Astyanax mexicanus: one gene and its partner. The protein of the gene in region 2 purifies or fractionates together with the protein of the main gene of each other region. This does not show direct contact. Links are inferred from orthologs where the notes say so. Each region holds a gene or a part of one and is shown on either strand. Other genes may lie near its edges.

Evidence for each region.
Region 1: the proteins of epn1a (region 2) and phgdh purify together in Homo sapiens (affinity purification with mass spectrometry; 3 studies listed by BioGRID and IntAct, with this or other methods). This does not show direct contact. The link is inferred for Astyanax mexicanus from reciprocal best matches to the Homo sapiens genes EPN1 and PHGDH.

Annotation. Positions count from the first base shown.
Region 1 is NC_064418.1:37,501,100-37,517,111, forward strand, and holds phgdh (D-3-phosphoglycerate dehydrogenase), read right to left. Parts: upstream 9,210-16,012; 5' UTR 9,158-9,209; coding exon 8,984-9,157; intron 7,949-8,983; coding exon 7,797-7,948; intron 7,362-7,796; coding exon 7,296-7,361; intron 7,021-7,295; coding exon 6,966-7,020; intron 6,777-6,965; coding exon 6,678-6,776; intron 6,586-6,677; coding exon 6,453-6,585; intron 5,324-6,452; coding exon 5,175-5,323; intron 5,031-5,174; coding exon 4,878-5,030; intron 4,739-4,877; coding exon 4,600-4,738; intron 4,294-4,599; coding exon 4,166-4,293; intron 3,043-4,165; coding exon 2,823-3,042; intron 2,685-2,822; coding exon 2,530-2,684; 3' UTR 1,863-2,529; downstream 1-1,862. Other genes in the region: protein CFAP210, read left to right, coding at 11,322-11,376, 12,465-12,673, 12,787-12,960, 13,513-13,718, 13,872-14,028, 14,176-14,315, 14,458-14,650, 15,144-15,308 and 1 more. UniProt on the Homo sapiens protein: Catalyzes the reversible oxidation of 3-phospho-D-glycerate to 3-phosphonooxypyruvate, the first step of the phosphorylated L-serine biosynthesis pathway.
Region 2 is NC_064413.1:7,063,013-7,079,024, reverse strand, and holds the start of epn1a (epsin-1), read right to left. Parts: upstream 10,264-16,012; 5' UTR 10,029-10,263; intron 3,603-10,028; 5' UTR 3,478-3,602; intron 2,607-3,477; 5' UTR 2,574-2,606; coding exon 2,505-2,573; intron 298-2,504; coding exon 139-297; intron 1-138. UniProt on the Homo sapiens protein: Binds to membranes enriched in phosphatidylinositol 4,5-bisphosphate (PtdIns(4,5)P2). Modifies membrane curvature and facilitates the formation of clathrin-coated invaginations. Regulates receptor-mediated endocytosis.

The DNA of each region.
Region 1 (16,012 bases), on a different chromosome or scaffold from region 2:
ACGTGTTTGTTGGATGATTAAACTTTTTTAAAAGAATGATTATTCAACCAGAATGAACATCACAACCAAGCAAAGTTGACCAACAAATATGACAACAAATATGACCATGATGGTTGACCAGTATTACCAATAAGACCAAGCTGTGTGACCAGCATAACCAATATAACCAAGCTGGTTTACCAGCATGACTAACATTGACCAAACTGGTTGACCAGCAAGGCCAAGCTTCCACTATACTGTTTAAAAGCTGGTTAACCAGCACAGGGAATGTTTTTACCTGGATTCTCTGGTTTCTACCACCTTGACAATAATCAAGACAAGTGTAAACCATGCAAAATCTGGTGTTAAGATGGATTTTTCAGCAGGGATATCGATTTGTAAAGGACATAGCCTTGAAAAAAGCTTGACCTATGTTACATTATATTTATTTGTACAAGAGAAACAACCAATGCCATTGCATGACCTTCAAAGAAACGTATGTAAATGTACATATCCCAAACTTACCAAGTGTTGTGGAAGCAAATATCCTATTGAGACGAGAGCACGGTGTGATTCATGGCCAGTGTTCCTCAGATGTGTCTCTGTCTGGGATAGAGGAGACATATGGCCCCTTCAGTTCAGCCCCAGTGCTGCCCTCCTATTTTGGTCACTGTGTATAGTTGGAGAGGCGCTGCTGATTCCACTCAGGCTCACAGATAATGTCAGCTCCAGCTGACCGCATTCTCAAAGCAAACGTGAGCTGTGGAGCTACATAAACACTACACACTATAAATCTTTTCCTAAAGAACTGTGACTGCGCTCACAGAGCTCTCCCCAGTTAGTCACTATGGTAGAATCGGATCTACTGTTAATCCTAATAAGGATTAAGAACATTACATAATGTGGCTTTTAAAGTGAGACAGTAGCGAGAGGAGGCAGACACGAGGAGTTAATCCTTTCTGCACATTTACATTATCATTTTAGGAGAAGAGGACATCCTCTGTTCCCATTCATCTTTACTTATTATGGTATTAGTGAGCTGCGTAGACTGTGCACATTACGGAGCAAGAATAACTAACGCCAGCTGTGGCCTTGGAGACTGAGTGTATGTCTCAAAATGAACAGGGCCAAAAAAAAAAAAAACATAGCCAATTAAGTACTACAGTTTCCTGAGCTAAATAAAAAACATGATTTTAATAATTCAATATTTTCTGTCAGACAATTGTGGTTGAAAGAAATAAAAAAAGATTTTTGTGTCGATTTCATAAAGACACTGTGCCTGGTTAAGCTGAATAAATCTTATCTGGTTAAATAAAATAGATTTGTTTCTAAATGTTTTATGGATGTTTATAGATAGAGACTAGTGTATGCCTCAAAATCAACCAAACACAGACCTGTAGCTAATTAAAAAAAAAAAACAATACATTTTATTATGGCCTATTGGTTTTATTCAAACATTTAAAACATTGTTAATAGAAAACAAACATTTAGTTTTCAAATTGTTTGAGTTTGCATATGTTTAGTAGTGGTCTTACATATGAACTTCACTGACATACATACATGTACACATTGACTAGTAGAAATTTCAGATATGTGCAACTAGATTTTTTACAAGCAAATACATAATTAAAGATAAGAGTGTGTGACAATCTGTGAGAAATTAGTGGTTACATATGACTAATCAAAATGACACTAAGGATATGCAGTCTTGGTAAAATGTCTAGTTCGAATGGCTTTATAGATCTGGTATTACTGTAAGTAAACATTTTATAGCTGATCTCTAAACTGGGAGTTTATATTAGAAATACTGCATAATAAACATTTAAGCATTGTGAGATGGATTTTTCAGCAGGGCCCTTTCATTAAATATCATATTCAGAAAATGTTCTGATCTGATTTATTCCTTTTAGGCTTTTGTACAAATATGGGGTGTTCATACCAGTACAGATTCAGTAATTCTGAAAACATGTTACATTTTCACAGATGCTACATTTCACACTGACATACTACCTTTTGTCATCAAAACTATTACATTAGAAAGAAATGTAAAACAGAAGTGGTCTCAGATATTTGAACTCCACTGTACCTTATAACATTTAGAAACGGACAAAAACACACCTAAATTAGCATTACAGTGAACAAATGTTAAATCCATTTTTTTTCACAGTAACTCATCTGCCCTTTTCTAGTAAAATTAAAATATCAGGCGAATGCTTATGACAATTATATGAAAGTATGAGATTGTTTAATCATATTATTATCCATTATTTTTGGTATTGGGTCATCTTCACAGTAGTAAACAATGTTTATTAGATTACAAGCTTTAGAGTTTTCAGATCTTTAATCAGATAAAATATGTTGTGCGCAAACAATTACAGTTCCTATATTATCATTTCACATATGACCAAAGCTAGTGTTTAGCCCAACATAGGCAAGGCTCTTCACAGTAAACACTATATTGCAGTAATGTTACGGTCATGCTAGATTTCCATGTTAGGCAATGGAATGCTAAGGCTAAGTAATTCCCAGTAACTTTCCATTAGTATGGATTTATACAGCAAGTTGTGCAGCCTCCTTCACCACGGATTTCAAAGAACCAAGATCTCCCAGCAGGGACTGCATTCCCACACAGTACCACTGCTCACCATCAGAGGCAGTGGAGGCACTGAAGTAATTCATCTCAATACCAGCTCCAGCCAAGACCCCTGAAGAGGAGAAACAAATATTGATATAATGTGAATTTTGAACACCTTTGAGATTTTTATATAATATGAAAATAGAAGAACATGATTTATAATAATAGGAGTCAATTTATTTAGTTAATTTTAGGTCAGTTAACTTACCAGTAACAGACGGCAGAAGCTGAGATGATGCTGCAGCCTTAAAGAAGAGCAGGTTTCCAGAGAGAGGGATTGGTTGCCGGAACACACTGCCATCCAGCTGGAGCAGGACAGGAACATCTGCCTGTACTGAGCCAAGGGCTTTATAGATGCTTCCATTCACAGAGACCTCCATCATACAGGCACCAGCAGCTTCCTTTGTGTCACTGTGACTTTTTTTAATCTGTTGGGTGAAACCAAATAATATAGTTTAATTCAGTAGTTTAGGTAACTAAGTTACAGTAAAGCTAAACTAACTAAACAAATCTATAATTCTTAAAAAAAGAACATTTTCTTTTAAAGTCAATCGAGCTCTGGAAGTTAATGTACACAGATTTCTCTTCAGAAAACTGTTTATTTAAGTGAGTAAAGTGCTTCATTTTATTTAAAGTAATCTTAAATTGTCAGATTTCCATTAAGGCTTGGTAAAGCAGCATTAGCAGCGAACAGTAAATGCCACCCTACAGCACTACACTGAGGAACCCAGAGTGTTCCGGTAAGCCAGGGATATATGAGCTAGCGGTTTTACCTACGTAGCATGTAAATGCACAGACTACAGTCCTATATATTCGCCTCTGAACGGTGAAAGAGCTAGAGCATAGCGTGGTTAGCGGCTAATTTTGCCCCAGCAGTGCTATCTGGAGTTAGCAGCAGACTACAGGCAGATAGTACTCACTTCTGAACGGCAAAAGAGCATTAGCTCTTAGCGGCTAACGTTGCTTCAGTCTTGGTGTTCGAAAACTAAATTAAAAATCCAGTACAACAGCGCACTTGAGCGGAGTGGCTTTACTGCTGCTTACAACCTGACTGGTAAAATTTATACATTTTTGGGGAAATTAAAGGATTTTAAATGCAACTTATAGTGCGGAAAATACTGCATGAGTATTTTTGTACTTGTTAATACGGATTCAGATACCTACTAAAATTAAACAATCAGAAGCAGTACAGAATTGTGTAGATGTTGGTGTAAAGTAGTAGTTGCAATGCAACAGTTAATTTGTTAATTTTACAGGATCTAATAAGAGCGGACAGGTTTCCCTTGGCAGTTCTACTACTTTACCTGCATTTTTTACATCATGTGGATACACGTTGGATGTATGAACTCTTTGATATCAAGGTGGACGCAGTGCTTCATGAATTTTGTTGCGCTAATTAGTTTGCTGAGCTTATGGGTTTAAAGTACATGTTGCTAGGAGATTTTTATGCATCCTTAAGTTTAAATGTGCTTTATTCAAATATGTGGTATGGTTTATAAGACTATAAGCAAGGGGTTGCATCATGAACATGGAATTGAAACACATCCTTACTTTAATTCCAGTTTCTTCAGCTAGAGGCAGTGCATTCACCAAGTTAGGGCCATTCCCTGGTCCTTCTGTCAGCAGTCCAACAACAGCTGCTGAACTCAGGAATCCAGCTGATTTCTTTAAACAATCACCTGGAGGCAAACATAACTGCATTCCTTTTTACATGTTCCTACAACAACATTCCCTCAAATAATATTACTAAGCAATTTCTGTGTGTAAGCAACCATGCAGTACATAGACCATTAGAGGGCAGTATTTAACCAGTAATGAAACTTTAATGTCCAACTCTCTACAGTTGTGGAATATCTTCTCTCACATATATATTTAATCTGGATTAAAAAAATCTAAAAACTGCACTTTGATTCTTTATGTAGTTACTAAGCATCTTACATTTAAATGACATGCAGCTACCAGAAATATAGAGGTCAGAAGCCCACCTTGAGTTGTGATGTGCAAATGACCATAGGGTTGTTTGGAGGAGCTGCAGACCTTCAGCACTCGTCCCATGGCCTCACCCAGCCTGATCCACTGCTGCGACTCAGGGGTAAAGGTGCTGGCCAACACCTGGGCATTTACCTGGGTGAGAATGTAAAGACAATCAGGACTGGCATTTCTTACTAAATGCCTAAAAAAAATAAAGATAATAAAGTTATTTTCTTTGGCCAAAGAAGTAAAAGTTGTTTTTCACGACGTTCCCATTTCTGGAAATACTCACAGCTCCCACCAGTGCTTTGCATTTGACCATGTCCACAATCTGCAGTGCTATATCCTGTCCACAGCGAGCCTGGGCTTCCTTTGTGCTAGCTCCCAGATGAGGGCAGCAGATCACATTAGGGTGCTTCACCAGGGGCCAGTTCTTTGGAGGCTCCTAAATAAATATTATAGAGAAGCACAATCTCATATTTCTCAATAATTTTACATATATTTTATAAAAATAGCATCACACAAGTGTCTGGCACTAAGGATATATGATTTGATGGATACATTAACAATAAATAAATACTAGCCTCACCTCCACAAACACGTCCAGGCCAGCTCCTCCGCACTGGCCAGACTCTAGAGCTCTGAGCAAAGCAGCTTCATCGATGATGCCTCCACGGGCACAGTTCACCACCTTCACACCCTTCTTACACTTCGCAAAGGAGTCATCATTCAGTAAACCTACAATAGATCAGGCTTTATCTGTTATTTTGTGATTAAAAGGCCCTTATCCATTACATGTATGTGTTTTTTGTTTATTGATTTGTTTTAACCAGACTTCTAACCTCTTAATTTTTTTTCAGGCTGTTTATGAATTAGGGCCTTTAGGACAAGTTTATGTACTGTAAATGACATTTATTTCTGTTCTTATTTCTTGTCTACCATATTTTTTCCGGATTATAAGACTCATTATGCGACACTAGTAAGAAACAGATGTGTTGCCATGTTTTTCTTATAATTCAGCAGGTATAAGTTAAGTAAAGATAAGCTTAATTAACAAAACTAATTCTAAAAAAAATATTTTTCTTATAAGGTCAAACAAGCACTGGTTGTTAATCCACACAGATTTCTCTCCTGAAAAACATTTATTTGGGTGAGTAAAGCACTTCTGTGTATTTACAGTAATCTTACATTTCCAGATTTCCACTAAGGCTGGGTGCAGCAGCATTAGCATTAACGATCAACAACAGCACTAGAGTGAGGTATATGCCACTCGACAGCGACAGGAACCTTGAGTGTTCTGGCAAGTCAGGTCAAAATTAGCAAGCGGTTCATCCCATGTAGCTTGTTTTAATACAGAAAATGCACAGACTACAGTCTGATTATACTCCTATTATACCTCTGAACTGCAAAAGAGCTAGCACTTAAACTCCTGTATAACGCTGCACTTCAGCAAAGTGGCTTTACTGCTTCTTACAACCTGACTGGTAAAACTTATACATAAGGCACACCGGATTCTAAAGCAAATTTAGGAATTAGGTGCGTCTTATAGTGCAAAAAATACTGGTGAAATGTGAAAAGGCAGATTTGTAATCAATATATAGCAGTTTGTGAAGTAACAAAACATTATATTCAAAGTGGGCTGTTTTTGCGCCTTAGTTTCCATTTATAAGACCATGTGGAGTCGCTGACAAAATAACATTACCTGCTAAAACATCCATATGGTTTATGTACCACATCAAACTCTTGATTTGAAACAAAAAAGAAAACTGGTTTTCTGTTATAGTACCTCAATAAAGCTGAGACATCCAAAAAAATAGGCCAACAGAACTGACCTGAAACACTGATCTATGTTTGAGTCAATTCTCACCTGTAGTGGAGGGCATGAGAGGTGTGTGTACCGTGATGTAATCACACTGGGGCCAGAGCTCCTCCAGAGACATCTGTTCCACTCCCCAGCTAGCAGACACTTCTGTAGGGGTAATGGGGTCATACCCAATGGTCTGCCAATAAATAACACAAGTCAGCACTTCATCCATGGACATGTTTGGATAAATCACTAAAAATGTTCAGAACACAGAAGAGAAGATCTTACCCTCACACCAAAAGACTGCATTCTAGTGGCCACTTCTTTCCCGATTCTTCCAAGCCCAACAATTCCAAGGGTTTTTCCATACAGCTCTGCACCCATGAACTGTAAAATCATTAACAAAACACTGACCCACCTACCCTAAAAGCCTGCATGATGCAACACATCCAGTAGTCAGACCCAGTTAGTGACGACTGGGTGCACACAGACAACACAAAAGCATCCGTAATTACTGTCCACACCAACTACCTCAAAACAGCCCATCACATAAAGACTCTACTTCAGTGTGTGTACCTTCTTACGATCCCAGTTTTCTGCTTTCATGGACATAGCAGCTTGTGGAACATGTCTAGGAATAGAAAAATATGTGGCCTTGAGTACAATAATAAAACAAAAATATGCAGTTTCTGATTAGATGGTTATCAAAATGTGTTTTCAGGGTTAATTTTTTTATACACTGTATTATAGTATTTATTAAAAAAAAGAAAGAGAAAAAAAAATCAAAATAACATAACCTAAACCCACAATCTGCAAAGTGTTCACTGAAAGTATCTTCATCAAAATGTTGTTAATGTTAAAATTTTTTTTTTTTTTTTTACTATACTCTAAAATTGCTTCCCATACCTTGACAAACTCATCAGAAGAGTGCAGGTCAGTTCAGCAGCACTGATGGTGTTGCCACTTGGAGTGCTGTAAAAGAAAAGTAAATTCACTCTATGCGTCAAGCACTGTCAACACACAAAATTGCTCACCTTTGTAAACAATGGCTCAGGCTGTTCCTAGTAAAACCTGGGAATTGGTATTTAAACAGCTCACATCAACTGCTGCTTAGTACAGTCAAGCTCTTAAAAACTGACTCTAGATCAGTCTTCTTTCTCCTGAAGTGTTTAGTGAATACAGACCTTGAAATGCCGGTTTAGCAGACAATGGGTGTTATTAAATTGAACATTCAGATCCAGTAAATAAACTCTTTCACCAGACAGATGGAAGTTCAAACCAGAACAGAGCCAATAAGGAAAATACAGATTATATACCACGAACATGCTGGGAAGGACTTTTAATTTCTTAATCTAAACGTTTGCCTCTATTCCACACATACACCCTGTAATAAAGATGTTTATTTACTTCATGACTATTATGCCCTTCTTGGTTGCTGCATCCACATCCACGTTGTCCACCCCGGTCCCAGCTCTGCCAATCACCTTCAGGTTGCCAGCAGAGGCGATGATGTCAGCGGTAACTTTGGTCGCGGATCGAACCACAAGGCCATCGTAGTCCTGACACAGATGGGAGAAGAGGTCAGTTCGACAGGTCAAGCTAAGTCAAAAAGTCACGGCCTGTAGATAAAGGGTCACAATGCTGTGATTTGTGGACATATTCCAAGACTTAATGCCCTAATTTTAGACAGTTATTTGGTAAGTGGAATAGTTTTTTTGTGGTAATGACGTAGTTGTTCAGTTTCTGCAACGTTGTCCAAGGGATGCACTGTTTATGTCTCAATTGTGTCCCACTCTTATTGAGAAAACCTAATCATCAGGCAAAACAATGCTTCTTGGTTTTAAGACTACCCTCTAACAACCTCATTCAAATTCAAATCATATTTCATTACCTGACAATGTAGTACGCCCAACTTTTTTGGTTCCTAGTTGAGCCATGTATACAGGCCCCACACATAAGTGTCTTTCTGGCATATTAATACAATTATTTATAATATAAAAACTATATACACTCACTATTGCATGGTATGTAAAACTTGGAATTTATTCCAAGTCATTTAAGAACATGTGTTGGGCCATTTATCATTACATTTGTAGATAATGTACACAACAACTACTACATTCTGATCATGCCAAAAAGTGAAAAACTGAAGGAAAAAAAACCACCAGCCTCTCAATGAGAACACAATTATTTATATGCAATTCTGGTTGTCTAAAAACCTTTTTTTTCTGAAGAATTAGCTCTTCTGCCATCGTATTTTCACCAACAACATAACATAAATTTGTATAAAAATGCAAATGCAAATGCTGGACAAATCCTAGGCCTCTTCAGCCAAGTCCACAGTAGTGCAGTAGCAGACAGACCAGCATGCAGGTTTGGGACTTGCAGCCACACCAGCAGTGATGTTACATCAGCCTCATGAGGAGGCGCCAATGGCGGTGCAGCTCAGCAAAACTGATCCAGCAGCTCCAACCCCGAGAAAACCGGCTCAAAAAAAGTTTAGAAAAGTCTCGAGATGAGCAAGGCACGCGATATTACAAAATACAGCGCATGCTCAAACAAAGCGATTCACAAACAAACCGAATCTCACTTACCTTAATCTGGGAAATCAGCTCATCTTTACTCATATTCTGTTTCTCCGTCACCTCGATCCCGTTCTCCTGCAGGATCGCCCTGCAGCAGGGATCCACGCTCTCGCTGATTAAAACGCGTCTGATTGATACCGGGGCCATTTCTCCTCTCTCTGGACGTAACTCGCAGAATCGCATGAGACTTTACGTGGCCGGGCTTTGAATGAACGCTGGGGAGGGACGCAGGAGTGGGAGGGGCCTGGCTGAAAGGGCCCACAACAAATCAAGCAGCACTAACAAGAGGGACTGGAGGTGCTTACTAAAGTACTAATTTCTGTAACAGTTCTTTTAATGTAATATAACAAAAAATGCATTATATTCTGCAGTCTGAATTTTTTAAGCATACATAAGGAAACATACATGTAGTTATATATAATTAAATAATTATTATTTAATCATTTTTTTCAATAATAATAATAATAATATATATATATATTTTTTTGGCACGACACCACTTCCCTCTTTGGGGGAGCAATACTACTTTATTATTCATTTTTTTTACAACTTATTTAAATTTTCAACATGTAGATAGATAGACACAGCAATCATTGTAGTTGAGCATTTAGCAGATATAGTTGGGGGGGGGGGGCAGAGTTGAAGGGGCTGGGGAGAGGCAAAGAGAGTAAAAAAATGGGAACAAATAGAAAAACAGAAAAAAAAAAATAAACAAACAAAAACAAACAAACTAACACTTATTTATACATACATATATACAGCATATGTATATCCAAACAGTTTTTTTACATATGCCTTATTTTATGGATACATGGATTACAACAGAAGATCAGCATGCAAAATGTTCCTGGTCAGCATAAAAATAAACTGTTCCTTATGCTCCTACTATACACAAAGTTGATGTGTATTATGATGTGTACTATTATCAACACTTAAGACCGGAAATAGCTGTAGTTCAATAAAGTGAAAAAGTGAGTGTGTTACTTAGTCAGCTGTTGTACGCTAAGTACCAAATTTGACCCATGGTGAACGCTTTTAAAGAGTAATGAAAGTCACAACCATGGAATAATGTTTGACATACTTTCAAACATCTGACCAATTAGGACATCACATGACCGCTCTCCATTCCCTTTTTTGTGCATGCAGTCCCGCTTTTAAAACCCACATTTTAGAGACTGTGCTCCACAAAACAGACTTTTACTCAACTGACTGAGTTTGCTTATGTATTTATTCATTATTAAAATAATAACTCTATGGTCGAAAATAACTAAAATACTACAACAGCTTATTGCACCAGATAATTGACCAGATGATTCCTTAGCAACATGATTCTCAATATGAAGACTATGCAACAACAGAAAAAAGAGAACCAAAGAAATGAGAAGAAATTTCTCTTGAAAAAATTAGAAACTTCGGTCTAATACGATATTAAGATGGTGAAGCATGCTGTGTGTCCTGCGCTACAAGTTAAATTCTTCAGTAGATTTTTTTGGTCTTTGCTGATGTAAAAAATTGCAGAAGGCAGTAACTTCTTGCTGAGGGCAGGTTGACAAAGCTCATATTTCTTTAACAAATTAATTAAAGGTAATAAAAACACCATTCTTAATTATCTATTTGGATTGGATATATTTTGATATGAGGTATTTTTTATTGATTATTATTGATTCAGTTTATTTTCTAAATTTCCTTATTTCCTTAATACCTGAATTACCTCATCTGGTTCATATTTTTTATTTTGTATCTTATTTTGTGTACTTGCTGTAACTTGGGAAGGCGAGTAACATAATTTTAATTCCCTGTATGTCCTGTACATATGCTGTATTGTATAGTTGTATAGTATAGTTGAGTATTTCTTGCCATAATATGGATTAAAACATTACTCAAATAAAGATATTCACTTGAATGCCAACTCTACCTCTTCACAACTTTACAACTGATGCTCTCAAACACATTAAAGACATTCAGGTAATTAACTTTTGACAAGTTCAGCACAGCTGTTAACTGAACCCATTTCAGGTGATTACCTTATACAGATGACTGATATATACATTTATAATTTGCTAATATTTAGTTAGGAACTATTGTTTTTTCCCCTCGCGTTGTTGTTCGCGTTTCCGTGAGGTTTCCTGCGAGCGGTCTCGCGAGGTTGCCAAAGGAGACGCTGTAAATGCAAACACAGTTGCTAGGCAACACGAGTAGTGGGCCAGGACATGTTTGCCCAGATTCAGAGTGCAGAGCTCGGTCTGCAGAGAAGAAGCAAAAAAACTCAAAGAAACTGGATCTAATGACACATATTCTTATATGTTCATATATATTCACAGATACTGGTTTAAATTAATCTGCCAGCATGACCACCGTTTCTACAGTGCAGTATGGCCGGAGGCAGGGGTCGAGCAGGAAAGGTCAGTCACAGACCTCAGTTCTTTTAAATCTCATTTTTATAATACCAACTAGATATAAAATGCTACATTGTTACCACTGTGCAGTAAAACCCTTACGGTTAGTAGCTTGTTTTCTTAATAACTAAATCAGGAATGCCAAAATATTTCACAACTTCGGTAACAGTTGTAGCTAGTGGCACTCTCTCTACACTAGATAAGTTATTCAGCATTGTATATAGATCTGCATCCTACTTCTTTTGGTGATATGTATCACAATATAAATAACAATCACATTAATCAGAAGTATATAGTCATATATTTTAGAAAAACAAATAATACTGGGTAGAAATGCACCGGTTTTCAAAACATTTTAATTTTTTCCCACCACTCTATAGGTTATATGCTATTTACATAGCAGAAATGTATATTTGTCATGCTTCTCAAATGAAGGCAGAAGGCAGTAACTTCTTGCTGAGGGCAGATTGCTCTGCAAAGTTGACACTTTAACAAATTAATTAAAAATAATGAAGAACAGCTCTGATCTTATTTCTTAGTCTTTTGTCTGATCTAAATCAGCTGTGGATTATTCAGCAAATCAGGTGCCAAATGGTATTGTCTGCATTCATGCACATAAAGCACTGTTTGGTATAATTTATTAGGCCCTTTCACCTAATTTTGGTTGCCAAATATTCAGTGCATACCTGATATTGGTAGGTGGAAAAGGAAAATGAGACTGAGTTTTGAATTGAGAAATGATACATTGTTGAGAAATGATACACTGTGTAGGCCTAATCTTATTCACAAACATTGCTGCAAACACAAACCTTAAAATTGGGTTGTTAAATAAATATTGTACTGTCTTAGATTTTTTATAAGTATAACTATATAAGATGCCACCCCCTTAAGAAATCTGGATGTATTTTGTATTGTTCAAATATTAGTATCAGTAGCATACAAATTATATTGTTGTTGTCTTGCATGAATTAAGGAATCTGAAGGAAAGGAAATGAAGGGATTTTTGTTGGTTTTGTCATAAATTATAAAAAAAGTGTCAAAAAACTGAGTGTGATGGTGATTGTATATTATTATTAACTCCTTTTTAATCTAAGTTCACTCAGCAGAAGTGCAAACTGGGCCTAGACAACCGATAGATCTTCTGCAAGTGACAGTCCTACCCAGATCAGAATGGCTGCGTCTCCAGGACAGTCTGAATCAAGTGAACAAACACAAGGACAGTCTGATAGAAGCAGCAAAGCAGAGGGAGGCCATGCACTTGCGCTCCAAAGAGGTGGTGAAAAACTGGACCAACACTATTGCTGTAAGTAACTTTTTTATGAAATCTGTATCTGTATATTTAACTTTAAATAATAATCCATATACGTGCTACTTTGCTGAAACACCTCTGGAATATGACCCATCATATGTTTATAGGGGCAACGTCAAAAAAAGTTGGAGGCAAAGAAAATCAGAGAAGAGATCGAAGAGGAGGAGAGGAAACGCATTGACATAGAAGAAGCAAAGTATCAAGAGCAGAAAAGAAAAGAGGCCATAGAGAGGGCAAAGACTCAGCAGTATTATCAGACAGACAGAGTGAAAGGATTTCATGTTTGTATATCTATATTTATAAATTATTGTCTTTTATTTCTCTTTGTGTTTGGCTTAGCTGTATACATGCCCATTTAGTGTAAGCATCCAAGCTGAGCACCAAATTTTTTGGATGTTATCAGTTTGATTGGAGGACGTGATGTTGGATGACCTAAATTCAGCATCAGGACATTGTTTAATACCACAATTTGTTTGACAATGAGGACTGGGGACATTTGTTTTGAGGTCACAAAAAACATCTGCTAAAATTCATGTTAACATTCACACAATGTGAAATTCTAACGTTATCAGACATTGATATATTTTTTATTATATAGTTTTGGTGGAAAGTAACCAAATGTCAACTCAGTGTTTGTTTTTGACATATGTGATTTCCAATTTTAATTTCCAACCCATTTTCCAATGTCTTTCTGGCAACAAATTGGCATCCTGTGCCTGCCATGAATAGTAAAAGTTGCCAGATGCTACTGATATTCTGCAAATTTGAAAAAGTTTTCATAATTGTAATTTTTGAATCAAAATATCTGTTTTTAATCTTAATTTGTTCATTAGAGTGCCCTGTTGCTGACTGAGGTTTTGAAGGAGAGGGAGGCACAGATTGAGCTGAGACGACGAGAGCAGAATGCCTCTAAAGATGTGGATAAAGAGGTCTTGGCAATGATTGCACGCAGAGAGGAGGAAGCTTCACAGATAGAGGAACAAAAAGCCCTGAAGAAGAAGCAAGAGTGTCTGGCAGTGGCAGAGAGTTTAAAGCAGCAGTAATGTATAAAATAAATGGACATACAGATGTTTATGTTTATTAACTGACTATGAAGTGACAGATTGAAGAATGTGGCAAAAGCAGTTTGTTAGGATTAATCAAAGTCAATAATAAGTTTTTGTAAAAAATCTAAACTCTTAATCCATTTTAGGATTAAGGAGCATGATCACACAAAGGCATGGGAGAAAATGGAAGAGAGGAAGGAGGCAGAAGAAATCCAGCGGCTCAGACAGCTTTTTTTATGGGAGCAATCTATGCATGAGCAGAACAAGCAAGAAGAGAAGAGAAACATTATGAGAGCTCATCAAGTATGTCTTAAACAGGTTCCACTTTAGCAATAGTTTCTACTATTAATTTATGATAGCAACAGTGAGAAGTTTCAGCAAATTATAGTGTTTGTTTTTTAAGTAGACCAGAGTTTCCATTTTGGAATATATATTTTTGAATGTTGTCAGAAACACCTGGCTGATAGGGATATCATCCAAGCACAAGAAGCTCAGAAGCAAGACCAGGAAGAGGAAAATCGAAGGCTTTTTGCTGAAGCTAAAGAGAAGATGATGAAACTCAGAAAAGAGAAAGAAGAAATGCTGTTTAGGTATTTGATATTTTAAACATTTTATTCAGTAATATAGATATTTTGTGTTTATTCTTTTTATTTATCTACATTATGACAAATAATTTGTGATGACAAATTTTTATTTTAGAATCCTGTACTTATATCTAATTATCTGTGGCAGAGGGATGCAGAGACACAGGGAGGCCATTATTGAGAGGCTGGCAGCACAGCGTCAAGAACAGACCAGCAATGAGGAAGAGCTAATCTCTAAAGCAGTGGCACAAGCTGAGGCCAAGCGGATTCGGCAGCAGCGTGAGATGGATGGGAAGAAAGCAGCTATGGTGAAGTCCATTGCTGCACACAGAGAAGCTACGGTAAATGTTATTTTAGAAGAAAGAACATGTCTGAAGCCCCTGAGTGACAAACTGAGTGACATTTTTGAAATGAAATGTATTGGCATTTCCTGACCTTTTTTATCTAATTAATAAAAGCAAAATCATCACTTTAAAGAAACATCATGCAGCAATTTAACCAGCACTGCTAATGTATCATGTGACTTTGGTGAAACTGCATGAGACGGTTCACAAAATCCAGTAATGCGGAGTAAATCATATATCTGTAAAAATGTCTATACTCCATACTCCATACACTGCCATGGGCTTCTTTTACTTTAGATGCAAGTTCTGTATCTCTCAGCTCTTAAAAAAATGCAAGTGTACTGCTGTCCATGAAGCATGAATTGTATTTGAACTAGGGAAATAAATGTAAATTACTCTCTTTACCTATAATCCCAGTACCAAAAGAAAACTCTGCTGTCAAGATATAATTCCGCTGTTACGTAACACTGTCCTAATTACTTAATTTCAGCTACAAGAGAAGGAGCGCATAGATCATGAGGAGAAACAAAAAGCTGCTGAGTCACTTGCTGCAAAAAAGGAAGCTGACAGCATTTTTCTTGAAAAGCAACAGCTTAAAGAGCAGAAAATGAAAGAATATGCCAAAACACTACAAGATACCTACGTTCATCAGATGGTGGGTACAATTTATTTATTTTTTCCCCCCAGTTTGATTCTATTGGAATTTAACATGACTTTTTTGTTACCTAGGTTGAGAAGCGAGAACTGGGCAAACGCATTAAAAAAGAAGATCAGAAGTTTGAAGCCAGCAATGTAAAACTTATAGTAGAGGAGGAGATGCAGTTTCAGCAGTATGCCAAGCATGTGATCCAGACAGCCAAGGCGGCCCAGAGAAACACCTACCCGCTTCACAAGGCTGCCAAAGAGGGCATCGGTGGAGGACTGGGTCCTGTATTTGGTGGTGTTAGGCCAAGTTATCTTGTTCATGATGAGTCTGGTGCTCAGATGCCCAATTATGTTAGCGGTACTACTCAAGATATAAAGGAGCTTAATGAGACCATTGACATTCAGCAGTCCAAGAAACGTTTGGGATTTACTTGGTGATGATTCTGAGCAATATGATGTTAAATGTTATCTGAAGCCATTGTCCAAATAATAAACGAGAAATTAGCTTTAAAGTTAACATGTTGGTTAAGTGTTCTTTACATGTATTGTATGGAGTAAGATCAGTATTGCAGCCTGCTGATTGCATGTATTGCATAATTGTTTTTGTAATTTTTGTCATGGGTATGGGTATTGTAAACCCATACAACCAATGCATTTTAGTTTTAAGTTTGTTTTCCATTAACCTATACAGCTTCAAATCTATTCAAATTTATA
Region 2 (16,012 bases):
ACTATTGTTGCTTAAAATGCGCCTTATAATCTGGTGCGCCTTATGTACGAAAATAGATGTTCATTGAAAGTGCACCTTATAATACACTCAGCTTTATAGTCCGTAAAATACAGTGTTTAGTTGACGTGATCTACTGACCTTATAAACGTGCCTCCAGTTCTTGCCGTGGTCGTTGAGCCGCTTCCACACCATGCTCATGATCTCTGAGAAGGCCACTACGTTATACGTCAGGTCTGCGATCTCTGACATCAGAGAACTGGAGGGACCCCAGGGGTCATTGGAGGTCGCTTCCCTGACCTGGAGAAGAAAAAATTTGATAAACACAGCGATAATCTTTCAATGATTAGCTTCATCTTTAAGAGCCACTAAACATAAACCATATTTTTCTATTAATAACTAAGATGTGTTCCTTTGAAGTAATGAAATAGTCCTGCTTAGAAACAATCAATAATACTACCACCCCTGCTGACATCCAACAATCTGTCTTTGCCATAAACACTATTTTTTTGTGTATTTATCTTGATGTCCATTTTGTTATATTCTATTTTATTGTGTTCTTACTTTTTATTTTATGTTATCTATATTTATCTATTTAGCAATTGCTCTTGGGTGTAAACTGGATCGTGAGATCAGTTTCGTTCCACCTCATGTACCAATAAAATCAGCTTGAATCCTATCAGAGGCACACTGATGCTGCTGCAGCTTAATCAGCCAATCAGCTAATCGTTCTGCCCTGCCTCTAAACCCATACATCACCCAGTGTCCCTCCCAAACTATCCGTCCTTTTTTTTTTTTTTTTTTAATAAAGCCTTTTTCAAATTTGAACTTAGGTTGAGTCAGCAAAAATCCAGGGGTTTAGTCCCCCTTTAAAAAACACAGATCTTCAGAAAAAAAATCAAATTTTAGAATTTACAATTACAATTAATAAAGATATTAAACAATAATACAAAAAAACGCCCTATTACACAGAAACGATGTGAGGAAATGTAAAGATCAGATCAAGGTTTACACTTAGAAACTGTTTTTTCTTTCTGATTAGAAAACACCAGTTCCAGGCAGTGAAGCAGAACCATGTCTTATAAATGAAAGATGAAGTTTCAGACTACTGTCGAGTGGAAATAAATATAGATCAGAAAAACAGAAGTGAAATAATGATGGTCTGCACTTAATCACAAACTCAACATGATGAGTTAAAGTACACTATGGTTCAAATGTAAGGGAACACTTCACATTAACAATGTCATGCTAGGCCTGTGACAATAACAATACTATTGTCATTTTAAGACCATTAAATGCCACTGATATAATAATGATAATAGAGTGGCATTACAAAGCAATTATACCTTCTAAAAAGGCAACAACATTTGTAAATAATCATAGTTTGGGAAATACAGCTCTGAAAAAAATGTCTAAACCAGTTTCTTTGATTTTGATATGTATAAGTATATATTTAGTTAAAATGAACATTGTTGTTTTATTCTATAAGCAAAAGACATTTCTCCCAAATTTCAAATAAAAATATTGTCATTTAGAGCATTTATTTGCAGAAGATTTTGAAATTACTGAAATAACAAAAAAGGTTCAGAAATCAATATTTGGTGGAATAACCCTGGTTTTTAATCACAGCTTTCATGCATCTTGGCATGTTGTCCTCCACCAGTCTTACACACTGCTTTTGAATAACTTTACGCAACTCCTGGTGCAAAATTAAAGCAGTTCAGTTTGGTTTGATGGCTTGTGATCATCTATCTTCCTCTTGATTATATTCCAGAGGTTTTGACTTTGGTAAAATCAAAGAAACTCATCATTTTTAAGTGGTCTCTTACATTTTCCAGAGCTGTATATACACTACACCTACTGCTGTGTTCTCACACTGTGTGTATGGAGTCACAGTTATTGAAGCATTGATCTGGTATTGCACGATTGGCTAAAATATTCTCTCATGCTATGAGATGCGTAATACAAAAGGTTACGATTTCCATGTCATACAGTATCTACCAGAGGTAATCATAATCATGCCAATATTATCTATATTAGTCTAATCTCCAATACACAAAGGGAAAAAATATTAATTGAAGTACACAGTGTTTAAGAACTCCAGCAGCACAGCTGTGTCTGTACCAGCACAACGCACACTAACACATACTGTCACTGCAGTGCTAAGAATAAATGACTGATCACCCAAATAATAATAACAGCTCTGTGGTGGTCTCTCCTGTGGGGTCCTGATCGTTAAAGAACAGGGTGCCATTGATAATGGACCTAGAAACAGCCCTAATATTAAATGTTATTAGAACTTAAGCTCTGTGCATTATTCTGGACTCATCTACAGTTCCTTCCTAGAGTTCAACTGATTAACACCAATTACCTAAAATCTGAAAGCTACAGCAAGTTTAGTGTTAATGAAACCAGTGATCTCAAACTTTTAAATGGTTGTGTATCTAATTAAGAGAGGTAGAGACAGTAATATTCGCTGTGTAAAAGTGAACAGAAGCACCGCTCACCTTTATCTCTGCCTCAGAGTAATTGTGAACAATGTTCTTCACTTGTCGTCTTAGCGATGAGGTTGACATGGCAACAGGGTGACTATCAGGTTCCTGTGAAATCTGTAAGATTGTAAAACGAGGTCAATAAAATCATTAATATACTCTGAGACAAAGGTCAAGAACAGACACACACACACACACAGAGAGACAGACACATACAGACAAAGAAAGAGACACACAGAGAGACAGACACAAAGTCAGAGAGGGAGAGAGAGAGAGAAAGAGAGAGAAACAGAGATACAGACACCGAGATACAGACACAAGAGAGACACACACAGATACAGACAAAGAGACAAAGAAGACACACAGTGAGACAGACAGAGAGACAGACAGAAACAGAGAGACAGACAGAGAGAGAGACACAGAGACAGAAAAAGAAAGAGACACACAGTGAGACAGACACACAGAGAGACAGACACACAGAGAAAGAAAGAGACACACAGTGAGACAGACACAGAGACACAAGACACACAAAGAGAGATACATACAGAGAGAGACAGACACACAGACAAAGAAAAAGACACAGTGATACAGGCACACAGAGAGAAAGACAGAAAGAGAGATTGACAGAGAGAGACAGAGATACAGACACACAGAGAAAGAAAGAGACACACAGAGAGACAGACACAGAGAGACACACACACAGAGAGAAACAGAGAGAGACACAGAGATACAGACACACAGAGATACAGACACTCAAAGAAAGAAAGACACACAGTGAGACAGACAAACACCCAGACAGACACACAGTGAGACACAGACACATATACTCAGAGCCTGCAGACAGACACAGAGACACAAAACAAAGAGAGAGACGCAAACAGAGGAACAGAGAGAAATACTGTGATATAATTTTAGGGTCATATCACCCACCCCTAATACACAGACCTATAATATAAACAGACTCAGGCAGTTCAATCTCTTTACTCACCTGGACACGCGTCTCTCTTTCTGTCTGTCAGTGTGTGGGTGTTCAGGTCAGTCTTTAGCCTGTCCGCTGCTCCAGACCTCCACACGGCCACATCAGGGCCCACACGAGCCGGGGTGAATCAGAAACTGCAGAGAAACACAGGAGACAAACTGAACATCAGAAAAGCTGTTTATCTGAGGGACATTACTGTGAAAAAATAATATAAAAACCTAAGCAATAAAAATAAACAGGACCATCCGTCTCATTAAAAAGAATATTTAACAGTAACAGAGTGAAGCCTGAAGGCAGTGAGAGATATGATCAGCATGAATAGACTCCACACATTTAACTGCCTACAGGCTCTTTATTTATTTTACAGCTTCAAGGATAAAGAGCTATAACATAAAAGATTGATTTGGCCTTACTGTTAATTAAAGAAAAATATTATTTAACCACTAGAAGTGAGCAATATCTTATTTTATCACAATAAATTCCTATAGCAATATGTGCCTTTTATTATATAATTTTTTAAAGCACAATTAAGCCTGCCACAATAATTAAGTTATCGTCAGAAATCACCTCAATAATTAAGCTGACATTATTGCCCACAAAGATAATGTTTCTGTAAACTATATTTTATATTTTTTTTATTTCCCAGGTTTTACTAGGTTTAATTAATAATTGTATTCACTTTTATATTTATATGAATCCATTTATTTTATTACTTTATAGTCACAACATTCTGTATTTTTACCTCATTTTAAGCCTTTTATGATTTTAAATTACAATTCTATATTACTTTTATTCTTATGATTACTGTTTTTTTTATTCTAAGTATTGTAGTGCCCTATATAAAGTCTTAACAGTTTCTGACTTGTAATTATATTGGCAGTTTGTAAAGTACGCTGAGCTTAATTTATGTATAAAATGTGATCTTCAAATCTAAAATCATCATTAGTATATACCCATACCCATCCAATCCATACTCATCCCCATTAAATCACTATCCCCCACTATAGAAATGAAAAAATATTTCATATTTGCATATTTACCCTACTCTATCCATACCAATCAACACCTTCTCCCAACCCATCTAAATTCCATCTCTTCATAAAACAATATCTGATCTGAATGCAGCGCCAGCAGTACAAAGGTTATACTGATGGATCCGGCCTTTCTCCTCTTAACAGTAAATCACTTAATCACTGTGTGTAATAAAAGCAAGCATTTCTAACGTCTGTCTGTCTGTCAACTGTGAACAATCTCATTTAGAACGAGGGGAAATAAAGTGACCAATGCCTGCAAATACCAAGTAAATACTAAGTCAATACCTGTAGTTAGGGGTGAAACGGTACATGTATTCTTCAGGAATGCGTGAAATATAGGAACTGTCTATGTGAATGTGTGAAATCCAATGAACGCAATGCGGAAACTAAGTTCAGAGGCAAGTTGCCCCGAACACTTAAGCTGTAGCTATTAGCAGCTTGAAACACCTTTAGCCTGCTATGCTAACTGTGGCTCTTAACTAAAGCACTGCCACTATGAGCGGGAGGTCGCAGGTTCGAACCCCACGCTGGGCGGCACGAGGCATCTGTGAGCGGATGTATCGGTACCTAGCCGCTGTGCTTTCCTCTGAGCATGCTAGCTGCTCAGGCAATGATTTATCAGCAGCAGCTCGAAAAAAAGGGTGACTGACTTCACACGTGTCGGAGGAGGCATGTGCTCGCCTGCATCCTCCTAGGGTCGCAGGTGCCAGTGGTGATGGGGATGCACAAAGGGGTGGGACAATTGGATAGCCAAATTGGAAGAAATTAGGGAACAAATTCAGATGCTATACTATATTTTGCCCTTTTTATCTACACTAGGCTGAAATACAGTCTGCACCTGGATTTAACTAAGTACTAACTTAAGTAAATGATCTAGGGTTGCTGCAGTTGTTCTGCAGGTCTAGGTTCAGCAACAGTATGTGCTGAAAGAATGAGGTCAGCTGACTACCTGAATATACTGAATATATACCAGGTTATTCCATCAATGGATTTTTTTCTTCCCTGTTTACAAAGTGTACATCTGCGCTGCATGTGTCATTAAAAACATCTGCACGTCTGTTTTAAAGTGCAGCGGCAAAATTTCAGCGTTTTGTTTTAAAGCAACTTTAAGTTGCACAGATACACACTGGAACACAGAATCTTCCTGCTAAATTTACTTTTTTGCTCCCACACCAGATAGCTCTGACCAATCAGAGGGGACAATGTGGTCAAGTGGTTAATTGGTGCGCATTTTGGTGCGTTTAGAATAGCGCCTGTGTAAAACCAAACCAAACAGAGGACGAAAAAACTCCAGGTAAACAAACTCATCAACTGATCTGGATCATAGAAACCAACTACAGGTGTGAAAACATCCTAAGTTGCACAATGAATTAAATAACTCTCTTTTTTTTCTACCCATCGTACCAAACCGAGGGGTTTATTTAGGTGTGAACCAAACCATCACTACCCCTACTGATTGTGGATCAGTGCATATACCCTGTACAGTCATATATACAAACACATATATACACACAGCTATAGAAAGTTAAACAAGGCTGTGGGGTGACCGCTGGATTCTGTATGTTTGGACAACAAACACTGAAAGCATGAGGGTCAGTGCTAACGCTCACGTTCACACAATAACAGCTGAAGCAAGAACATAGACATGGCCCTACCCTACAACACACTGCTTGAAAAGTAAAAAAGTTTAGACACTTTTTTCCTCCAGATATTTGTCCGTTTTATGACGTTAGTGCTCACACTAATTAAACCATTGAGTTTTTACACCAGAAATACAGTTGTTAAAAATTAACCTAGAACTAATGTGGAAATGCTATTTTAATTTAAGACAATATTTAAGTATAATAAATGTAAACAAAGGTAATAACAAAGTAATAACAAGACATATTACATGAAAAGACTTCCCACAATTATGGCTCATTACACAGTTCCTGTTAAGGTACATAGTAGTACTAAGGTAGTAGTAAATAGCCAATCCCATTATATATATTTTTTTAAGTTTCAATATACAACTGCAGACACTGATGCATACTCATTAAAGTTGTTCTTTTTTTTCAAATTAATATTTTATTTATTTAACCTATTTACTTACAGTTAGACTTATTTAGCACTTTACTTGATTTTTCTTTAATCAGGTGCGTTGCGAAAAGCTCCCACTGCACGTCAAACGCAGCTCTTTTTCTGCATACAAGCGCCTGGTTCACCACAACATGTTAAGAAAGCGCATAGCATAAGGAGATCGCCAGTTCGAATCCTGTTCATGTAAATTGTCATCGGCTACAGGAGCCCTAAGAGAGAGCACAATTGGCCTTGCTCTCTCTGGGAGGGTAGATGGTGCTTTCTCCCCAAATCCCTCCAAAGGGTGATGTCGCTCAGCACATGGTGTCTGTGAGCTGTTGTATCAGAACTAAGTCGCTGCGCTTTCTTTCGAGCACGCTGTGATGCTACTCGGAAATGCTGCATCAGCAGCAGCTTAAAAAGAGGTGGTGGCTGGTGGTTGGAGGAGGCATGTGTTAGTCTTCACCCTCCTGGGGTGTTGGGGCATCATTGGTGAAAGGGGGTGTCCTAATGAGTGGGTTGAGTATTTGGTCTGGGATGAAAATAAGGAAAAATTTTAGATAAAATTATAAAAAATAAAAAAAAGTGCATAGCTTTGCTAACTTGTGCCCTGTTAAAATGGTGTAGATTATATTATATGTAGATGGCTGCACATATCATTTGAGCACTTTAGCAAAATATACTTAATATTTTTTCTCCATATATCTAGAAGCAAGATACCCACATGACAAAGGCCATCACTCCACAAAAAAAATAATTTTTATGGATTTATTTGAAGTGAATTTTGTTGAAACAGGTTGCGACGTCAAGAAATTGCACAATGTACATCAGGCTTAATCGGAGGAGGAAAAATCCTTAATTATCTTAGCTTTCAATGTAAGTCAACGTAAAAAGATGCTGAGATTATGTTAAGAAGTTAGGAATTATGTTAGAATTAAGAGAGAAACAGAGATAAAAGGTATTTGTGAGACAGCATCAACATATGACGTACAACTAGTGCTAGACGAATATCTGTGAACCACTTGTTTGCACAAAAACCCAAACTGCACTGCGGTGTACAACGACAGTTTTAGCACTGTAAGACCTGCCTGCTCCAACTTATCACTCTCCAGTGACACATATCGTCTCCCAGTATCGTGACACTGCCCTTCAGTCACATCGCCCAGCCCTATATCTCACTACATGTCAGAGTGATAAGGAGTGGCAGATGACACACTGAACAAACAGGATTACACAACCCGGCCCACTGATAACGGCTCCAGAGTTGGTGTGGAGATGCCTGGGGCAAAGTCCTAACCGCTCCAGCAAAATCAAAAGCAGCGTTTCACTCTGTACTAATTAACATAAACCTTAAACCGGAGAGCAAACAGCACTGAAACAGGAAATGTTAACAGTGAGCTAATAACTCACTTCAGCTGCTGAGAACAACAACAGCTGCTAACAACTTTACACAACTTTATTACAGCAATCTAGCTAACTAGATCTCAAAAAACACTGGAAAGAGTTTTCTGCCCTGCATCCTCTCAGACACAAAGCTTACACAAGCTTCCACAGCGTATCCACGTTTTCTAAAATATTTTTCTTCCAATATTTACAACTATCACACACAAAATGTACATGTTATGATGTTTACAGTGGTTGACTCCGACCTGTTTTTGTAGTTATTATTAAATTGCAGTATTTGTTTTTTACTGTAGCGTTATTTATCTACATATGTAGCTACACATTGAATATCAATAGTAGCTAGTTATATTTATTTATTTATTGACTACTAACCAAGCAAGCATAGTAAAGTGATGAAATACAAACACTTTGTTACCTTCCTTAAGTACAAATTTTCGTTAACTATACTTTACTAAAGTAATTACTTTTATCACTTTTTTACTTCTACTTCTTACATTTTCACACAATTATCTGAACTTTTTTCACTCCTTACATTTTAAAAATAGCCTCGTTATTCATTTCATTTCAGCTTGTTTTCATTCCGACCCTCATCGTCCAATAAAAGCCCTATCCAGATAAATCTCTCCATCCAGATAGAGTAAATCTGATTGTAATTGGATGTAGAGAAGTATAAACATATACCATTCCGACTCCCTATTGGTTTATACTGTGATCTATCACACCTGCACATCATGTCACGCCCCCCACACTCCAGCAAGAACATAGCAGACGTATGTAGCCTAGTATGTAGATGAGTATGTAGATGAGTATGTAGATGAGTATGTAGACTCAAAAGAACTCGAGTTTTACAGATGTCCAACTGAACTTCATATTTACATTGTACTAAAATACTTTCATTTTCAATAGGAATATATGCAGCTGAAACACTAGAGAGCCAAGTGCATTCCAAATTGTTCAACATTAACATTTTAATATAACATTATAGGACTCTATAGGACTATAGGACTCTGTGGCTTTTATCCTTAATGTCATTTTTCCCCTCCTTACATTACTTTTACTTTATTACTTTAAGTAGTTTTGAATCCAGTACTTTTACTCTTTTACTTAAAGAGTAAAAAGCTTGAGCTGATACTTTACCTTCTACTGAAAAAGTACTTTAAACTCTAATATCTATACTATGTATTCTACCTGAATAGTAATGAATGAGAATAGTTTTGACACATTTGGAAAGATTGTTTGCAGCCTTAATTCACTCACACTTGTTAGTTAGTTTTAACCTACTGAATGTTTACAATACACACACACTTTTCACACGTAACGTTACTTTACCTGCTATATAACGTTACTGCTTCCAGCGGACACTTTGTAGTTCTTATTATATTGCTGTATTTGTATTTTATAGTATTTTTCTCTACCTACTTATTCTACCTACACATTCTAACGTATATCCTTAGTGGCTAACGTTAGTTAAGCTAAGATTTATTTATTTACTACTTACGTAGCAAGCTTATATTTGCCACTTCTGTTCAATGGGCTGCTGTAATTTGTAAATTAGCCTCAGGAAAATATATCTGTCTATTTACCTACCTAACGTTATCTATATTCATAGCTATACATGCATAGCTTTATCTACTGACAACACTAGCTAGCTAACATTAGCTGTTAGCTCAACCCCACACCCACAGCCAGTCTACACTCCTCGCTTTTAAACGTTACTAAGCATTAAAAACGAAACAAAAAGCATACATGCTTGAAAAGGAAGTTTGCAACAGATTATACTTAATTCTCCTATATTCTAAACTCGCTTTAACAGTTTTAATTGGAGTAACACGTAAAAACCGTAAGCTAGCCGTCGTTGCTAAGGTTAGATAACCATAGGTACTGCTAACTACTATATTCCAATAGTGGTGAACCCAGGTCCGCGGTTTAAAAATCCGGGTTTTCGCTCCGACTGCCAGGCCGGCTCCGCTGCAGCCTGCGAGCCCATGCAGTAGAAGTGAAATCGCGGCGCAGGATTTTCACACCACGGACCTGGATCCACCACCTCTGCCCTATTCCACTCACCGTTTAGCGACCACCTCACGCCACACGGCTGTCTGCGGCCGTTCCGCTTCACTCAGACCCGCTTTTCCGTGCCCGGCCACACGTCTGACAGTCATTCTACACGTACCCCGTGTCGTGTGGCTCTCGATAGCGGTTCATCCACCGTATTTCCCACAGTAAACTCGGTACTGACCCTGGAGCTGCTCGCTACGAGGAGATGGCGGCGATTCCGCTTCCGTTCCCTCTCAGCGGAAGGGCCGCACCCCCCGGTTCACCGTGCCTTTCACCTTTAATATTTATGATTTTACAGCAGTCCGTGCTATTTTATTAAAGCATATATCCACCAAAACGTGTTTTTGGATAATTAAACGTTAAATAGTGTAAATAACAAAAAAATTTTGCTAGCTACACGTGTAGATATAACATAAAAAGCTAATACACAACAGTAAGTAGAGGTAGCTAACAGGTTGTTTACGCTCAGTGTCATTTAAAACTACACTAAATTCCTCAAAATATACATACAATTCGTTATTTTGAGATGTTATCTCATTATTTTGAGGTTCTATCTTATTATTTTGAGATACTAAGTAGTTGCTTTAAGATGTTAAATTTGTTATTTTGAGATACTAAATCATTATTTTGAGAAGTTTTTGAGATACTAAGTCATTATTTTTGAGATTCTAGTTGGCTAATTATAGATACTAAGTCCTTATTTTAAGCAAAAGACATTCCAGTAACCACATATGGTATTTCAAAGTAATGACATAGTATCTCAAAATAATAAAGTAACTTATCTCAAAAATAATGAGAAAGTATCTTAAAATAATTACTTATTTTAGGGTGGCAGAATAATAATGTAAGTGTCTGTGTCAGAAGTCCGTTAAACTCCGAGCGCGCTGGCTGCTCGGCAATGCTGCATCAGCAGCAGCTCGAAAAGAAGCGGTGGCTGGCTTCACATGTATCGGAGGAAGCATGTGCTAGTCTTCACCCTCCTGGTGTGTTGTGGCATTACTAGTGATATGGGGAGTCCTAATGAGTGGGTTGGGTAATTGGCCGTGTAAATTGGGGAGAAAAATGGGAAAAATTAGAAATAAAATTATTTTAGAAAAAAACTGATAATTGCTGATGTATTTATTGTATTGAAAAGGACCACCCAATGCTGGCTACGTTTCACCCTTCTTGGTGTATATTTCTGATTTTACATCAATAAATGTTTTTTTTTATTACTGCTTATCCACCAGAATGTGCCTTATTGATTATTACACATTAAATAATGTAGCTAACAAGGCTATATGTTTGGGTTGATATATCCTAGCTTATACACAGCAGTAGCTAGAGTTAGCTAGCTTTGAGGCTAAATTCTAATATTCTAAGTCATTATTTTAAGATGCTACGTTTAACAATCATAGTATTTAGCTTTGTTACTGGTTTATTATCTTTACTTAGTTTGTTTGTTGGTTTGACTACTGGTTTGTTATAGTTTAACTTTTGTTTGTTTTGTTTCTGGTTTTGTTAGTCCTTGTTTACTAGTTTGTCTGTCGTTGTTTGTTTTAAAGTTTTTTGTTGTTATGGCAACTAATAAAACCAACTTGCATTTGCATCATGCTTAAAACTTGTTACAAATCAATGATGGTACACTGTTAAAAAAAAAAACTTTCCTGTTCCTGTCGGACTAAATACAGTATCACTCATTTACTCAGGAAATAGTTTACATTGTTTTGTTTTTCCCATAATTTATCAATCATCTAGCGGGGCTCACCAAACCAGGGAGGGTGAAGGCTAGCATGTGCAGGGGTCGGAAAACTCTGCCCAGGCTTACTGGAAGTCCTATTCCAGCATACTTCACATTCCATTACTAACAAAGGGCAAATACAAGTACTGTACTGGCCTGTATCTCAAGCTGTAGGCACACCTGGGAATTTGTGCCATGACCGGAGGTGCCCAGAAACGAAGTACAAATACTTTGTTACCTTACTTAGGTAAAAATGACTTAACTATAGGAGATACATCTCTCCATCCAGATAGAGAGAATCTGATTGTGTTGGATATGGAGCATAAACATATACCATTCCAGCACCCTATTGGTACTATTTATACTGTGATCCATCACAACTGCACACGTGTGCCCACACTCCAGCAAGTACATAGCAGATGTATGAAGCCTAGTATTAAGATAATCTGTGCAGAGATGCAATGTCACAAGTCTTATTTCAATCCAGTTTTGCATTACTTTTTCACCAAGATCTTGCAGCAATGATAATGGAAGAGTCTGCAAAGCCTTCTCCAGCACATCCCAAAATATTCTCAGTGAGGTTAAGATCTGGACTCTGTGGTGAACAATGTAAAAATAAATGTAAAAACAAATGTAAAAATATGGATCTCATGCCATGAATCCTGAAATTGTCATCTTGGAATATTCCTGTGCCATCAGGGGGAAAAAAATCCATTGATGGAATAACCTGGTCTATATTCAGTATATTCAGGTAGTCAGCTGACCTCATTCTATCAGCACATACTGTTGCTGAACCCAGACCTGCAGACCAACTGCAGCAACTCCAGATCATTTATTTAATTAAATCCAGATGGCAACTTTTTTTTTTTTTTGATGTTTACGATAATATAGCTTTGCATTATAAGAACAAAATGAGTCTGTGTTTTAACTGTTTTCGAAATAAATAAAAATATTGGAAAAGAGTAACATATACAATCTAACAGTATAGTGCGTAGTGTATCACACGGTTAGACTGTGAGCCAGTCATTGTTACTCCCATCTCACAGCCTTCCACTAACACGCCTGACTCAGCTCATCAGATCATCCAGCATGGTGTGAGCTGAGTCAGGGCTGAAGAAAATATAAAAATGTGCAGTGCACGCAGCGACTGAGAGCCATGCCTGCACACAGGCCGCCTGCCATCTACTTAACCAAAGGTTAAAGACGTATAACCTGTCATAAGTAATTCTGACATGGACTAAAACAATCTGCTGCATTCAGGCTTTTTAAAGCTAGGTATTTGTTGGTGTGGGGGGTGGATGTAACTCTAAACTATTGTTGTGCAAGGATTCTGTGGTATGACTATCTGACATAAACACCTTCCATCGTTTGTCCACAAGTGTCATCTTCTGCTGTAGCACACAGTGTCCACTTCGGGGCGATGTCCTGCTGCTGTAAGTGGAGGGTGGCCTGCTCAGTTTAGGAGAGCGTATATCATCACTGCTGTCATGGGAAAACATCTTAATTTTAATGCAGGGTCAGTTTGGACATTCTACTGGTGCGCGATGTTCCTTCGGCAGCTGAAATAACATTACACATGGAAGTGTACATGTGGGACGGACCAGGACAGCCTGTAGTAGTAACTTAAATCACTGTTCGCTGTTCAACTGAGTTGTGAAATCGAGTTATGTTTCCAAGAGATGTCCAGATCTCTGGGGACTAGGAACACTGTATACCTTGAACACAGAATAACAAATTGGCTACAGGTGGATGTGCTGAACTTCAACGACAGCAGTATAGAGTCCCCTCGAAAAGTATTGGAACCAACCCCTCTACTTCTGCTGTAGACTAATATCATTTGGGTTTGACATTAAAAGATGAACATGAGACAAAATATCAACATCTGTATCTAATCCACAGTTTATATGAAATTTTGCAAAAGTATAGGAAATGATAAACTCTCAAAATAGATTACAGTAGATAGATAGAGGCATGCACAAATTTTCTTAATTAATCATGGGTGCCTTTTTTGCATAATGTGAAATAAACCAGCAAATCAGCATTTCACTTGCCATTCCTTTTGAGAGCCATGTGCACTCTGACATTTTGCTATTTAAATGGTGCTTCTCTGCAGAGGAAATTGGCCTGCATGGTTAGCTAACACTTACCAAAGTTATATTACAGTGACCTATATTTTTGTTGATGCAGAATAATGTATTTTGGCACATGGTATGGGTTTGTGCACTGCTGCTTTTGCATGTGTGGATAACAAGCGCAGTGGTGGTACATTGTGCACGCCAAGATAGCAATGAACATCTAACTGTTGATGTCTGCTTAGATTGCTTTGGGCCATATGTTACACACTGCGCAAGTTGTGTCGCAATGCTCAATGCTGTCTTACACCCTGCGAATAGTCTATTTTCCTGCGTCGGTTAAATAGCAACAGTGCTTGTGAATACATCTACACCGGTGGCCGTGGTGGTCTGGAAATGAGGTGTGTTCAGGTACATTTCTGGTGTATTGCTATCTTGGCAACTGAAAACACAGGTGTGCCATTGTCCGAAAGCAACCTAAAGAGACGCCATGAGTCAGATGTTCATTGCTATATTCAGAAGCTTATTTATACTAGCTTCTAACAGGGTGGGATGTCTACTTATGACTGTAAGCTTCTGTTAGCTACATTAGCCTTGGAGCTCATAAAAACATAAAATAAAAACCAAAAAAAAAAAAAAAAAACAATTTAAACACTTATCATGGCCTTCTCTGGTTTATACAAAGAGGGAAAGCTCATTTTTGGTTGGTACGAGCCAGTAGCCTCTGAATCTTACAGTGTTCATATCACAGCACTGTTGAGGTCTGCCTAGATTGCTTTTGACCCTATCTTACACCCTGTGCAAATCGTCTTACAATGCTTATTGCTATCTTACACCTTGCAAACGGTCTATTTTCACGCCTTTGCCCTGTGTCGTTTAAATAGCAATGGTGCTTGTGAATATATCTACACCAGTGGGCGTAGTGGTCTGAAAGTAAGGTGTGTTCAGGTACATTTTTGGTGTATTGATATCTTGTCAACTGAAAACACTGGTGCGCCACTGACTGAAAACAACCTAGACAGACACCAACAGTCGTTCTACAGATGTTCTATACCAGCTTCTAACAGGGTGGGATGTCTGCTTATGACTGTAAGCTTATGTTAGCTACAATAGCCTTCCAGCTCCTGCATAAAACTAAAGAAACAACCCAGTTCAGACACTTAACATGGCTTTCGCTCTCATTTTTTGCTTGGTGCGAGTCAGTAGCCTCTGAGTCTTATTAACAGTGTTAATACCACAGCACTTTTCACTGAGTTCATGTAGCGCTGCCCGGGATGGTTCACATGCACACTCTTGGGCTGATAATTTCTAGCACCTACTGTGCAACTTTTGACCATTCGCTGTGCGTATCACAGCATGTTTTGCGAGGGGGGCAGCTGCAGAAAGCTGCATGGCCACGGTCGCGATAACAGGGACTGTTTGCCTTATGTAAGCTGAAGTGGCCCTGCCATGTTTGTATCATGGGAAATCCATTCGAGAAGGCAAAGGCAGGTGTTGAGACATGCGGAGGGAGAAAAATAGACAGAATGAAAACTGGCAGAGGGTGGAGGAGGGTTTGGCTCCAGGCCAGCGGGGGGCTGCAGCTAGCCTTTCCGCAAGGTGAGATTTCAGCTGTTGCTTTTGTCACTCAAACAAGTGACAGAATGCCCAGGTTTGGTCAAAAAGAGAAGTGGGAGTGGGAGGTGTGAAGCGACAGACTGGATTGTTAGAGCTTTGCAGATAAGCCTCTGGAGAGGATCTGAAGAGCCATTTCTGTCCATTTTCCAGGAGTCTGTAGGCACCACCTCCCAGCATTCTGTGTACAGTGTTCCTCACATCTTCTTTAGTAAAAACAGGTATGGTTCTGTATAGAACCGTGTCAACACTAAAAACCCATTGAATTCTGGAAATTTGCCCAAAAAATGGTTCTTCAGAGCTACATAGGACCACATTGTGACCTGCTTTGCAGATATGCATTGGAGTCCCAAGGTTTGCTAAGTTGCATCTGAACAGGGATGGGACTAGCCATTGGGAGTACAGAGAAAATTCCCGGTGGTCCTCTCTGTTTGTGGGCCGCTGAAAGAGAGAAAAAGAGTATCAAGTTTGTTGAATTAGTCCACAGTATCTAAAGTGCATGCCAATCAGCCAATTACAGACATGCCACCATTGTGTAAGATGAACATTTGTGGCCACATATACATTTAAATGTGATCTTTATGTTG